3 linked regions of the Caenorhabditis elegans genome follow. The protein of the gene in region 2 interacts with the protein of the main gene of each other region in a pairwise test. Each region holds a gene or a part of one and is shown on either strand. Other genes may lie near its edges.

Region 1 (3,755 bases), on a different chromosome or scaffold from region 2:
ATTGTCGGATTTGAAATTTCCGGCAAATCGACAAATTGCCGGAATTGAAATTTCCGGCAAATTGTCGGATTTTGAATTTCCGGCAAATCGACGACAAATTGTCGGTATTGAAAATTTCCGGCAAATCGACAAATTGCCGGAATTGAAATTTCCGGCAAATCGACAAATAGCCGGAATTGAAATTTCCGACAAATCGGCAAATTGTCGGATTTGAAATTTCTTTCGGCAAAAACCGGCAAATTGTCGGATTTTGAATTTCCGGCAAGTCGCCATATTGCCGGAATAGAAACTTCCGGCAAATCGACAAATTGCCGGAATTAAAGTTTCCGGCAAATCGACAAATTGTCGGAATTGAAATTCCGGCAAATCGACGACAAATTGCCGGATTTGAAATTTCCGGCAAATCGACAAATTGCTGGAATTTGAATTTCCGGCAAAAACGGACAATTTGCCGAATTTGCCGAAAAAAAATTTGGCGAACCGTCCACCCCTGATTCGGTCATTTAAAGGCGCACACTGGTTTCAAAACAAATATTGTCGCGTCGAGACCCTTTTCGCTAAAATTAGATCTTGTTAGCTTCGAAGATACACTACTTGTCTCAACAAATTTACTTTCTTCAAACTGATCTACAAGGCCAAACTACGATCACTTTTTGTGTCGATCTTTCCTTCCGATCACATCATAGGACTACAGACAGCACTCTCTCCATTTCCCACACTATTTCTTGTCTGAGGAAATGCGGACAGCGTAAACAGAAAATTTCGTGTTTCTTTCTCTCTCGCTCTCTTCGTTATCAGCACTCTCTTCTCTGCTTCACTCTGGCGCCCTCTCCCACCCCATCGCCTAAAATTTTAAAGTGAGGAAGACCCCATTCGCTTCATTTCTGCCTTCGATTTCTGTAGTTTTTACTATTTTTGGAAGTCTAATTTGTTGGAAAAAAGTTGATTTCAATTAATAAATAGTACTTAACGTGAGTATTTCAAAATAGCCATGCAATGGAAGGAAAATCAGGAATTAAGCAAATGAATTGCACAGTTATATATAGTTATTAAAATTTTGCAAAAATAGATGTAAAATCTCCAAATTCCCACTTTTTTGTGCACAATTTGGAGGCTTAAGCTACGTGTTAACTTAGACAAGTTTTAGGCAGGTAGGCATCTAAAATTAGTAGCGAAATTGAAGGTTTCTGCTAAATTTGGCCTGTTTGAACAGTTTTTCATTTTTGATTGGTTCAAAAAATTGCCTGGGATTTTCTTGTTACGAACTATATTACCGATCCAGACAGAGAGAGAGAGCGTGTGTAGTCAATTGAAGAGACACAGACATCTCGGGACCCAAAGGGCGGTGCGCGGGGGAAGAGCCGATTTGTGTCGATTTACGGAGCGTTACTCTTAAAGGAGGACTAACGGTTCGAACAATTTTGAACGTATAGACCCAAAATGGACTCAAATGAACGAATTTCGTAATGAAACTTCTCAAAAAATTTTCAAAAATTTTTTATGGCGGTTCAAAATTTTGAAAAAATTGCACTGATTTTAGCTAAAATATCGAATTTTGCCCATTTTTCCGGGGTCGCAAAAATCAGTTCAGAACTCTGCGTCTAAATTTCCGCGATTCTCGTAGATCAAACCGATATGGGGCACTCTGACACCACGTGCACACTGTATTTATGTATTTATGACGGTTCAAATTTTAGCCAAATTTAGCTGAAATCTTCAATGTTGCCTCTAGGTACATTAGGCATCTAATTTTAAATGCCTACAGGCCTAAAATTTGCCTAACAGTTAACACGAGATAGGAACGCAAAATTGGAGGTTTTAGTTAGGTTTAGCTTTATTTTTTTGAAGTGTTACTCTTCCGTAAATCGACACAAATTGACTCTTTCCCGGGTCCCCAGATGCCTGTGTCTCTTCAACTGACTACACTCTTTCTGGATCGGTAATAGCTTAGCCTTTGTAGCATTCTCTGAAGTCCGATCCGATGACTCGTTCCGTTGTTTTTTTCCTGCAAATTTCCCAGTTGAAAATTCAATGCACACTTTTCAGAAAAGAAACTATCAAAAATGAACAATCAAAATAACAATTTCGTCGATTTCTCGGAAGATGATGATATGATGGATGCGGACTTTTTGGTAACTAGCCTTGAAAATGCGCCGCCTCATCCAATAACCGATTATTCGCAGGGAGTCGTCATACCGGATGACCTGATGAACGCTTCTCTTGAGTTTCAACGAACGGAGCCTTTTTCATTCATACCAGCCGAGGAGGATTTGGCTCCGATGGAGATTCTTCCGAATAATCAAGGGGATGTTGAAATGACGGCGGTGGATAAGAATCCGGATAAGGTATATTAAATAAGAGTTAGGCCCATGAATGCTTACCGGTTTCTAGGTATTGTTCGAACTTCGCGTCGAGACCCAAATTGAGCCAACTCTCAACTATATAAACGCGGAGAATGAGGCAGTTGAATGGGATATAAAGAGTTATTATGGTTAGTTGAATAACGGGTGTATAAATATAACGGATGTATAGTATTAATATATATATATATACAGTGCGTGCAACTTCTATAGCGCCCCCTATTTTTTTCGATTTTCAGTACTTTCCAAAATTTTTTTCGAAAAACGGTAAATGCCATTCGATTTTAAATGTCGAAAAACCCCCTTGTCGTAAATTGTCGTAAAAAACCCCTTGTCAAAAAATATGCGCTATAGAAGTTGCACGGTCGTTTTTAAGACTTTTTGACCTATAGTCCTCGCAGTGTTTGATATTTTTCGATAAAAATTTACGACAAGGGGTTTTTTGACATTTAAAATCAAATGGCATTCACCGTTTTTCGAGAAAAAAAAATTGGAAAGTACTGAAACTCGAAAATAATTGGAAGCGCGATAGAAGTTGTTCGCACTGTATATATATATATATATATATATATATATATATATATATATATATATATATATATATATATATATATATATATATATATATATACCAGCCGTGGCTTCTGGAGCTGACTTCTGGAGCTGAAAACCAATTTTTCTGAAACTACCGTAATCATACAGTACTCCTACCGTGCCACCATTGTACCACTACAGTACCCCAACTGCAGACTACAAAGACTACATAGACTACAAACTATGGACAAACGGAATAAGCGCTTTATATATAGTAAATGATAGTATTATATACTATAGTATTAATATATACATATATCATATATTATAGTATATATATATATATATATATATATATATATATATATAGTAATATATTATAGTATTAATATAGTATTAAAAAGTATGATATAAAAATCACCCGAAAATGGTGATAGGAGGAGTATAAGGGATGATTATCTCGAAAAATCATATATTTCTCTTGTCGGAAATAAATGTTAGCAACAGCAACATAAACATGATTCATACTTCCTTCGGAATTGCTAACACTTAAATTTTTTTCCCTGATCAATGACATTTATTACGATAAGCAGCATATGTGATCAATTAGCTGGTCAGCTATATAATTTATCATTAGGAATAATTGAAATTGAAAAACTTTAGAGCATTAATACTTTAGAGCATCACCGAAAAATCAGTTTTCAGTAATTTTTTTCCTAGTAAATTCGTAAAAATTTATTCCATTTTAAAGGCACATGATGTTTTTTCTGAGTGGGTCTCGTCACGATCTCTGTGCATGTGCAACATTTTTGGATATTAAAAGTTCGAAAGTGCACATATATAAAGCCAGGATTTATATGT
Region 2 (3,755 bases):
AAAAATTTCGTCTTATTGCAAAGGAGCACAACTTCGATGGAATTCTTGAGGTGTTACTTATTTTTTAATTTTAAAAAATTAAACTTCGTGAGAGGACCCTCGCTGAATTGGGAGCCCCCTCGTGGAGCGAAAGTATCAAACCGTTGTGAAACTCTTCGATCGTGCCACGTTGCTCGGTAGCATGATCAGAAGGACGCCGAGAAGAAGTGATAGGATAAGGAGACGACTGCCAAGAAGATCAAGCCATGCTTGTTCTTTCTAATAATGTTCTTTATATTTCGTTCCTGTTCAGATTTCTTATTCCCCCCTCCCCATTCGGTTAATGTTCTTCTCTCTCTTTTCCTTGTTCAGCATATCTACTAAGTATCCCTCTCTGACGAGTTTTATATTGGTTTTCGAGACAATGAATGTTTTAAACGTTATATTGATGTTATTAAATGTGTTATTCAGTCAATCGGAAGAAAAACTAGATAAAAACAAACTATTCAGCTGAAATTCATCGAAAAAAGAGGAAATTTTCGGTTTTTCTCAGAAAATCAGTGGAAACATAATGAGAAACATAAAATATGCACTTTTTTATTTTTTAAATTACTATTCTCTATCACAAAACATTTTTTTTCGACTTTTATTCGCTTAAATAATGAGAAAAGCGCTTTTAGCCAGAGCTGATATTGACGAATTGTCGTCAAATAAAATGCGCGTACGCAAAGTACGCAATAGTGTACAAAACTTATTCGCGTTGAATATTCAGTCAGCCAAATGGGACTACTGTAGAAATTTCTTCAGCCACGTTAGCTTTGCCTCCCCGTGTTTCGGGGAAATTTCCAATATGATTTGCGCGTAAGATATGATGCATGTACGCAAATACCGAGATTTATTGCACAATATTGTGCGCGCTACGCAGAAATGGCGCGAAACTCGTAGAATGCTCATTCTTGCAACCTGCGATCTATCAAATTTCGCCCCTCCACTGGTTTTGATGTTCTACGTTTGCACTTTTCGGACAATTTTTCAATTCAAAATTAAAAAAAAGGAGACCCGAAGAACTCGGGGGATGTCCAATTGGGGGGATTACCAACTCGGGAGTTTGGCCCCGCCCACAGAACCGTGGCTTGCAATACGCCCATTTCTGCAACTGCCGCACGGTTTTAAAATTATTTTTTCTTGTTAATTCTCGCTCTATTGAGAAAAATACAGTTTTAAAACCGTGCGGCAGTTGCAGAAATGGGCGTATTGCAAGCCACGGTTCTGTGGGCGGGGCCAATCCCCCGAGTTGGTAATCCCCCCAATTGGACATCCCCCGAGTTCTTCGGGTCTCAAAAAAAGTACACTTTCTCCTTCATTCCTTGAGGAATTTGTATCACAAGTAGTTAATTATTACTGATTTCCCAGCTCGCACATTGTTTTTACTACTGATACGTATTTACTCTTTTTACTCTTCTGTCTGAAAAAAAAAGCGAAAAACACACTCTTTTCAACTGCGTCTCTTTCAGAATTACTCTCCATCGTCGCCAGACACTGGTTGCCTGGAATAGGTATTAGAGATTTTGCCGTTTATTTTTTTCTTTTTTTGTCAGTGCACTGGCCAATGTAATGCCAAAATTGCAAACAGTTCTCTATGCAAATATTAGTTTCTCGCTGACTCATTCCATCGATTTTTTATTTCGCAACACGCTACCATCATCATATTCCAAACATAAATCATCATCGGTTGTCGCCGAAAAGTTGCGAAAACTCGCTGAAAAAACCAGTAAATGTCGTGAAAATCACGTGAATCCTTTTAAAATTTGAACTTCCCGCCGTGTACAGTTTAAAGTGCGTGTGACGCAGCAAGTGCGCTCCGTTGAGAATCGTGCACTCGAGGCGTTTTTGTCCCAAAATTCAATATTTGTTGGCCTATTTTTCACATTTTCCGATAGGTTTTTTGTTGAAAATGCCAATTTTTATACTAAAAATCTATTTTCCTCAGCGATTCCGCGTATTCCCCAGGCGTTTATCTGCAAAACCGACTCGCTTTCATCTTTTTCCTTCTCAATTTTGAAATTTTTAGCACATATTCTGATTTTCAGGGTTCCCTACAATGGACGTCAATCAATTCACTGAGCTCATCACAAAACTGCAGTCAGCAGACAATGATATCCGAAAACAAGCTGAAGAAGTCTATGAAAAGATTGAAGGACCAACCAAAGTAGCTGCACTTTTCGAGGCCTACACACACCACACGAATAATTCTGATGTTAGTTCACTCAAATTCCTATATATTCCATGAATTTTCGATTTTCAGGCCAGATCCACAGTTTTGGTGTTTCTGCGACGAGTTCTCGCCAGAGACTGGGATGCGATTTGGGAAACGCTGAACGAGGAGAACAAACAGCGCATTCTCGCCAAAGTTCTCGAGATGATAGTTCACGAGACCGAACTCTCGATTAAGAAGAAGATTGCTGATTTGATCTCTGAAATCGCTTCAAACCTCATCGACGATTCTGGAGATATGACATGGGGAGGAGTCCTCGAGCTGATGGATCATTGTTTGAAGAGCGAGGATCTTACCGGAAACTACATAGCCCTGCTTATTCTTCGCGGATGCCCAATAATTTTTGGAAACAGGCTGGCCCACTTCCTTCCAACCCTCAAAGTTGTCTTGGAAAAGTGCATGGCTACACCGGATTTGCAAATCAAGGCCACCGCCGTCCGTGCTGTTATCGCTTTCGCTGTTGATAATGATGAGGAGAAGGATGTTGTCAGGCTTATGACCTCTCTTGTTCCAAATGTTCTTCAAGTTTGCAATGAAACCAGCGACGAGGATGATTCAGATGGACCACTCGGAGAGTTCGCCGAGCTCGCCTCTTCTCTGCCAAAATGCCTTAACACTCATATGTCTCAGGTTCTTCAAGTCACTCTTGCTGTAAGTAATTTAAATGGCCCAATTTAAAAATTTCATTTTTTCAAATTTCAGATTGCTGGAAACAAGGAAAAGAACGAGATGGTCCGTCAGAACGCCATCGAAGTTATTTGCTCGTACATGGAATCCGCACCAAAAGGACTCAAGAAATACGCACCAGGAGCTCTTGGACCAATTCTCGAGACTCTTCTTTCATGCATGACCGAAATGGATGACGATGTGCTCAATGAGTGGCTCAACGAGATCGAAGAGGAAGAAGACTATGAAGAGTAAGGATAAATTTTTAGTTTTTCTTCAATTAAATTATTTTTCAGTATCCCAATCATCGCCGAAAGCGCCATCGACCGTGTTGCTTGCTGCATCAACGGAAAAGTGATGCTCCCAGTGTTCCTTCCACTTGTCGAGAAGCTTTTGACCAGCGAAGACTGGAAGATGAAGCACGCGGCTCTTCGCGCGTTCTCCGCCGTCGGTGAAGGGTGCCAAAGATCTATGGAACCACACATAGAGCAAATTATGGCTCATATCACCAATTACGTCAATGATGCTCATCCAAGAGTTCAATACGCGGCTTGCAACGCCATCGGACAAATGTCTTCTGACTTCGCTCCAACTCTTCAGAAGAAGTGCCACGCCGCCGTCATACCAGCTCTTCTCGAGTCTCTTGACAGAACCGATGTTCCACGTGTCTGTGCTCATGCCGCTTCGGCTCTTGTCAACTTTGCCGAGGAGTGCCCAAAGAGCATCATTGGACAATATCTTCCATTCATTCTTCAGAAACTCGAAAATGTGCTTTCCGCTGTGTTCAATCGTCTCGGAGACAAGAGATACCAGGTTGTCGTTGAGAACATCGTCA
Region 3 (3,755 bases), about 14 Mb from region 2:
AAACCATTAATTTTCTGCAGAAAACGCCTGAAAAACTCGGTCGGCTTCTCGCCAACGCCCAAAATGGTGCTTCACGACTATTGTGTGGAGACGAAGATCCCAAAAGCCACGTATGAGGTCGTAAAACGAGATGATAAGCGATTCGTGGCGACGGCGTGTATTGGTGACAAGAAATATCGATCAGGAATTGGACAACCGAATTTAAGAATGGCTGAGCAGGTCGCCGCGCTCGCAGCCTTACATGGAATGAATATTCGGAATCTTTTGGTTGGAAATTGGGAAGAAGAATGATGTTAAATTTGTTTTTTGCTATTTTTTTGTTAAATTATATTGAAAAATTGTTTGTTTTTGCTATAATTTGCATTTAAAATCGGTTTTATTCCATTAATTATCGAATCCCCACTGCGCGCGCGGGGATGGCAAAACGCCGTGCGGCAGTTGCAAATGGGCGGAGTTTGGAGAATTTAAAAAATATTCGAATTTATTTCGCAATTTTTAGAGATTTTCAGGCTTTTTTCAGAGTTTTCATGCGTAATTTTCACTTTAAAATGTTATTTAAGTGTGTAGGATTATAGAAATGTAATTTAATTCCGCAAATTTTGTTGAAAAACTTGGATTTTTGCAATTTTTGCAGATTTTTACATGATTTTCTTCTAATTCTCCTGTTTCAAGTCAATTTTCTCTCTAATTTTCCAAATTTTCAGGTAACAAAATGACTGACTACGGAGATGCTGATAAATACGTCAACGACGAATCGATCGAGATGGCTTGGGCGATCAAAGCCGGCGAACGGTCCGAAGTTCACATGAATCTGATAATGCGGTGTGACACTCGGGTTCTTCGGCTCAACAAGCATCAGGATGCGATTCTCGCCGCATTTCGAAGCTCATTCCCCGATTTGAATGTGGAGGAGGTGACGACGAGTTTGCTGAAAGACGGCGGAGCCAAGGAGACATGGCGCGAGTTTTGTGAGCAATTCAAGGATATCGTCGACGATTATTCAATGGGAACACTGATGAGAATTCATGCTTCGAAGGCTTACAGTCCGGAAAATACTGTGGTTGTTCCAAGAGTTAGTGGGACCCAAATTGGAAATTTTTGTGATTTTCAGCATGATTTGTAGCTAGAAATTGCAGTTTTTGCGTTTTTAGCCCAGTTTTTAGCTAGAAAACTCAGATTTTGTGATTTTCGGCATGATTTGTTGCTGGAAATTGCAGTTTTTAGCTTAAATTTTTGGGAAAACTTCAATTTCCAGCCAAAAACCCCTCATCCCTCATTTTCCCATACAAAATCGATCGATAATTAATTACAGATCATCTACCTGGCAATCGAGATGGCACGCAACGTGGAGGGTGTCAACGAGAAGAATAAGGAGGCATACACGGCTCACCGCAATTCGCTCGCCTCCTTGTAATAATTTCTCTCGTTTTTTTTTTTGAATTTTTGTTGATTTTTCCCCGTTTTCTCGTTTTCCACCCTGTCGTTTGTCTTGTAGTTTGCATATAAACCGATTTCTTCGTTTTTAAAAATGATTTATTTCCAATTTCTCGAGTTTTCCAGCTCTTTTTACTTATATTTTTGTTTATTTTTTTTCCAAAAATTGATTTTCAGATATTTTTCTCTAAGAAATGTCGATTTTGATGAATTTTTCTGTGCTAAAATTGACTTTTCAAAATTTTCTCATAGACACGTGGGATAAATGCCCTAAAACTCAATTTTAGCCTGAATAATTCGTGATTTTTGATAATTTTTCATCGGAAATCGAATGTTGGATGCTAAAAACGTTTCTTTGGCAATTTTCGAATCCCCACCGTTTTTTCTCCATTAAAATCTGGATAAGCATCTCAAAATTCATGAAAAATCACTTTTTCTGTTAAAAAGTGTTTTCTGTGATTTCTGAGCGAAATTGTCAAAAAAAAAAAGTGATTTTCGCTTCGAAAATTCGAATTCCCGAAGGAAAAACCATCAAAAACCTCTGTTTTTGAATAGAAAATGTCTAAAAATCAATAATTTCCCAATTTCTTTTCTTTCTTCTCCATAAAAATTTAATTTTCCAGAAATGTCGCTTTTCGGTACAAGTACCACGGCTCCAGCTGCTTCAACAACACCTCTTTTTGGCTCAACGGCTGCTGCTGCTCCAAAGCCTGGAGGCCTCTTCGGTGCGCCTGCTGCTGCCATGTCATCAGGGCTCTTTGGAGCATCTCAGACAGCTCCTGCACCAGCTTCTGCAGGACTTTTCGGCTCAACAACTGCTCCTACACCTGCTTCAACGTCTTCAGTTCCACTATTCGGTTCGACAACAACCACCGCATCACCATCTGGAGGACTTTTCGGAGCCAAGACAGCCACCACAGCAGCTCCCGCGCCGACTGGTGGGCTCTTTGGAGCATCAACGGCTGCTCCGGCGACTGGAAGTCTGTTCGGAAGTACTGCCCCGGCTACTGGAGGTCTTTTTGGCGCGAAATCGACCACATCGGCGGCTCCGACGTTGGTTTTAGAGCTTTCGATGCATCTAAAATTGAATTTTCAGGCTTGGAGGTGGACTTTTTGGATCGAGCACGGCTCCGGCGGCGGCGGCAACGACATCATTTGGAGCTCCACCAGCGACTGCAGCTGCTCCATGTTAGTATAGATGCTGGAGCTTCTTTTTTCTCTGTTTTCAGCACAAAAATTCCATTTTTTGCGAATTTTCAGCTCTAAAATGCTTTTTTAAATAGAAAATTGCCACTTTCAACTCCTTATTTGGAAATCCTATTTTTCGCCGAATTTCGACAAAATTTTAGTTATCAAAACTAGCGTTTTTAATCTGAAAATCGGACATTTTCAGCTCAAAAGTGTGTTTTTAATCGAATATAGTACGATTTTTATGTTCAACAACGCTAATTTTATAGAAAATTGGAAAATTTTCTAACAATACATCAAAAATCCTTATTTTCCTCCTATTTTTCAGCCAAAAATGCGTGAAAAATAAGCAATATCCATTTAAAAGCTTTATTTTGTCGATTTTTCTTCAAAAATTGGCGTTTTCCGGCAATTTGGCTATTTGCCGGTTTACCGATTTGCCGGAAAAAAATAAAATTCTAAAATTTCCAACATTAATGTGCAAAACCGCAATTTGCAGGAAGTTTTCGGCAATTGCCGCTTTTCCGGAAGATTCGGCAATTTGTCGGTTTGCCCATTTGCCAGAAATTTTCAATTTCGGCAATTTGTCGGTTTGCCGGAAATTTTCAATTCCGGCAAATTCGGCAATTTGCCGGAATTTTTCAATTTCGTCAAATTTGCCGGCTTGCCGATTTGCCGGAATTTTTCAATACCGGCAACTTGTCAATTTGTCGGTTTTCCCATTTTCCAGAAATTTTCAATTCCGGCAATTTGCCAATTTGCCGGAAAAAATCGTTTGCCGCCTTGAGATTGCGCAGCCTGAAAATCATTTTGTTTTTCAGTGGGTCTCGGCGGAATCCAGCAACAAAACAGCAGTGGTGGTGGGCTTCCAAATGCTTCAGGAACTGCCACGTCATCACTCACAGGCACCGGAGACTCAAAAGATGCCTCGAAAGACGGTGAATGGACACAAGCGGCCACTCTAATCAGAGATTTACTCCCATTGATCGAGGATAAATTCAAGAAAAATCGAGAATTTATGGAAGAAACCGAGAATATGTCAATTGACAACGTGGCAATCGAAGAACAAATCGATAAGACACGTGGATGGATTGAGGAAGTTCGACGGGATGTTCTGACGGCTACACAATCAT

What was found.
Region 1: the proteins of imb-3 (region 2) and zip-1 interact in a two-hybrid assay, tested with the Caenorhabditis elegans proteins (one large-scale study listed by BioGRID).
Region 3: the proteins of imb-3 (region 2) and npp-4 interact in a two-hybrid assay, tested with the Caenorhabditis elegans proteins (one large-scale study listed by BioGRID).

What each region holds. Positions count from the first base shown.
Region 1 is NC_003281.10:12,334,861-12,338,615, forward strand, and holds the start of zip-1 (BZIP domain-containing protein), read left to right. Parts: upstream 1-2,046; 5' UTR 2,047-2,063; coding exon 2,064-2,345; intron 2,346-2,391; coding exon 2,392-2,491; intron 2,492-2,805; exon of another isoform or gene 2,806-2,932; intron 2,933-3,755.
Region 2 is NC_003279.8:313,304-317,058, reverse strand, and holds the start of imb-3 (Importin N-terminal domain-containing protein), read left to right. Parts: upstream 1-2,069; 5' UTR 2,070-2,080; coding exon 2,081-2,236; intron 2,237-2,284; coding exon 2,285-2,905; intron 2,906-2,956; coding exon 2,957-3,171; intron 3,172-3,216; coding exon 3,217-3,755.
Region 3 is NC_003279.8:14,704,825-14,708,579, reverse strand, and holds the start of npp-4 (Nucleoporin p58/p45), read left to right. Parts: upstream 1-2,057; 5' UTR 2,058-2,059; coding exon 2,060-2,487; intron 2,488-2,530; coding exon 2,531-2,622; intron 2,623-3,443; coding exon 3,444-3,755. Other genes in the region: dus-2 (DRBM domain-containing protein), read left to right, coding at 21-291; Y54E5A.5 (Polysaccharide biosynthesis domain-containing protein), read left to right, coding at 713-1,072, 1,313-1,414.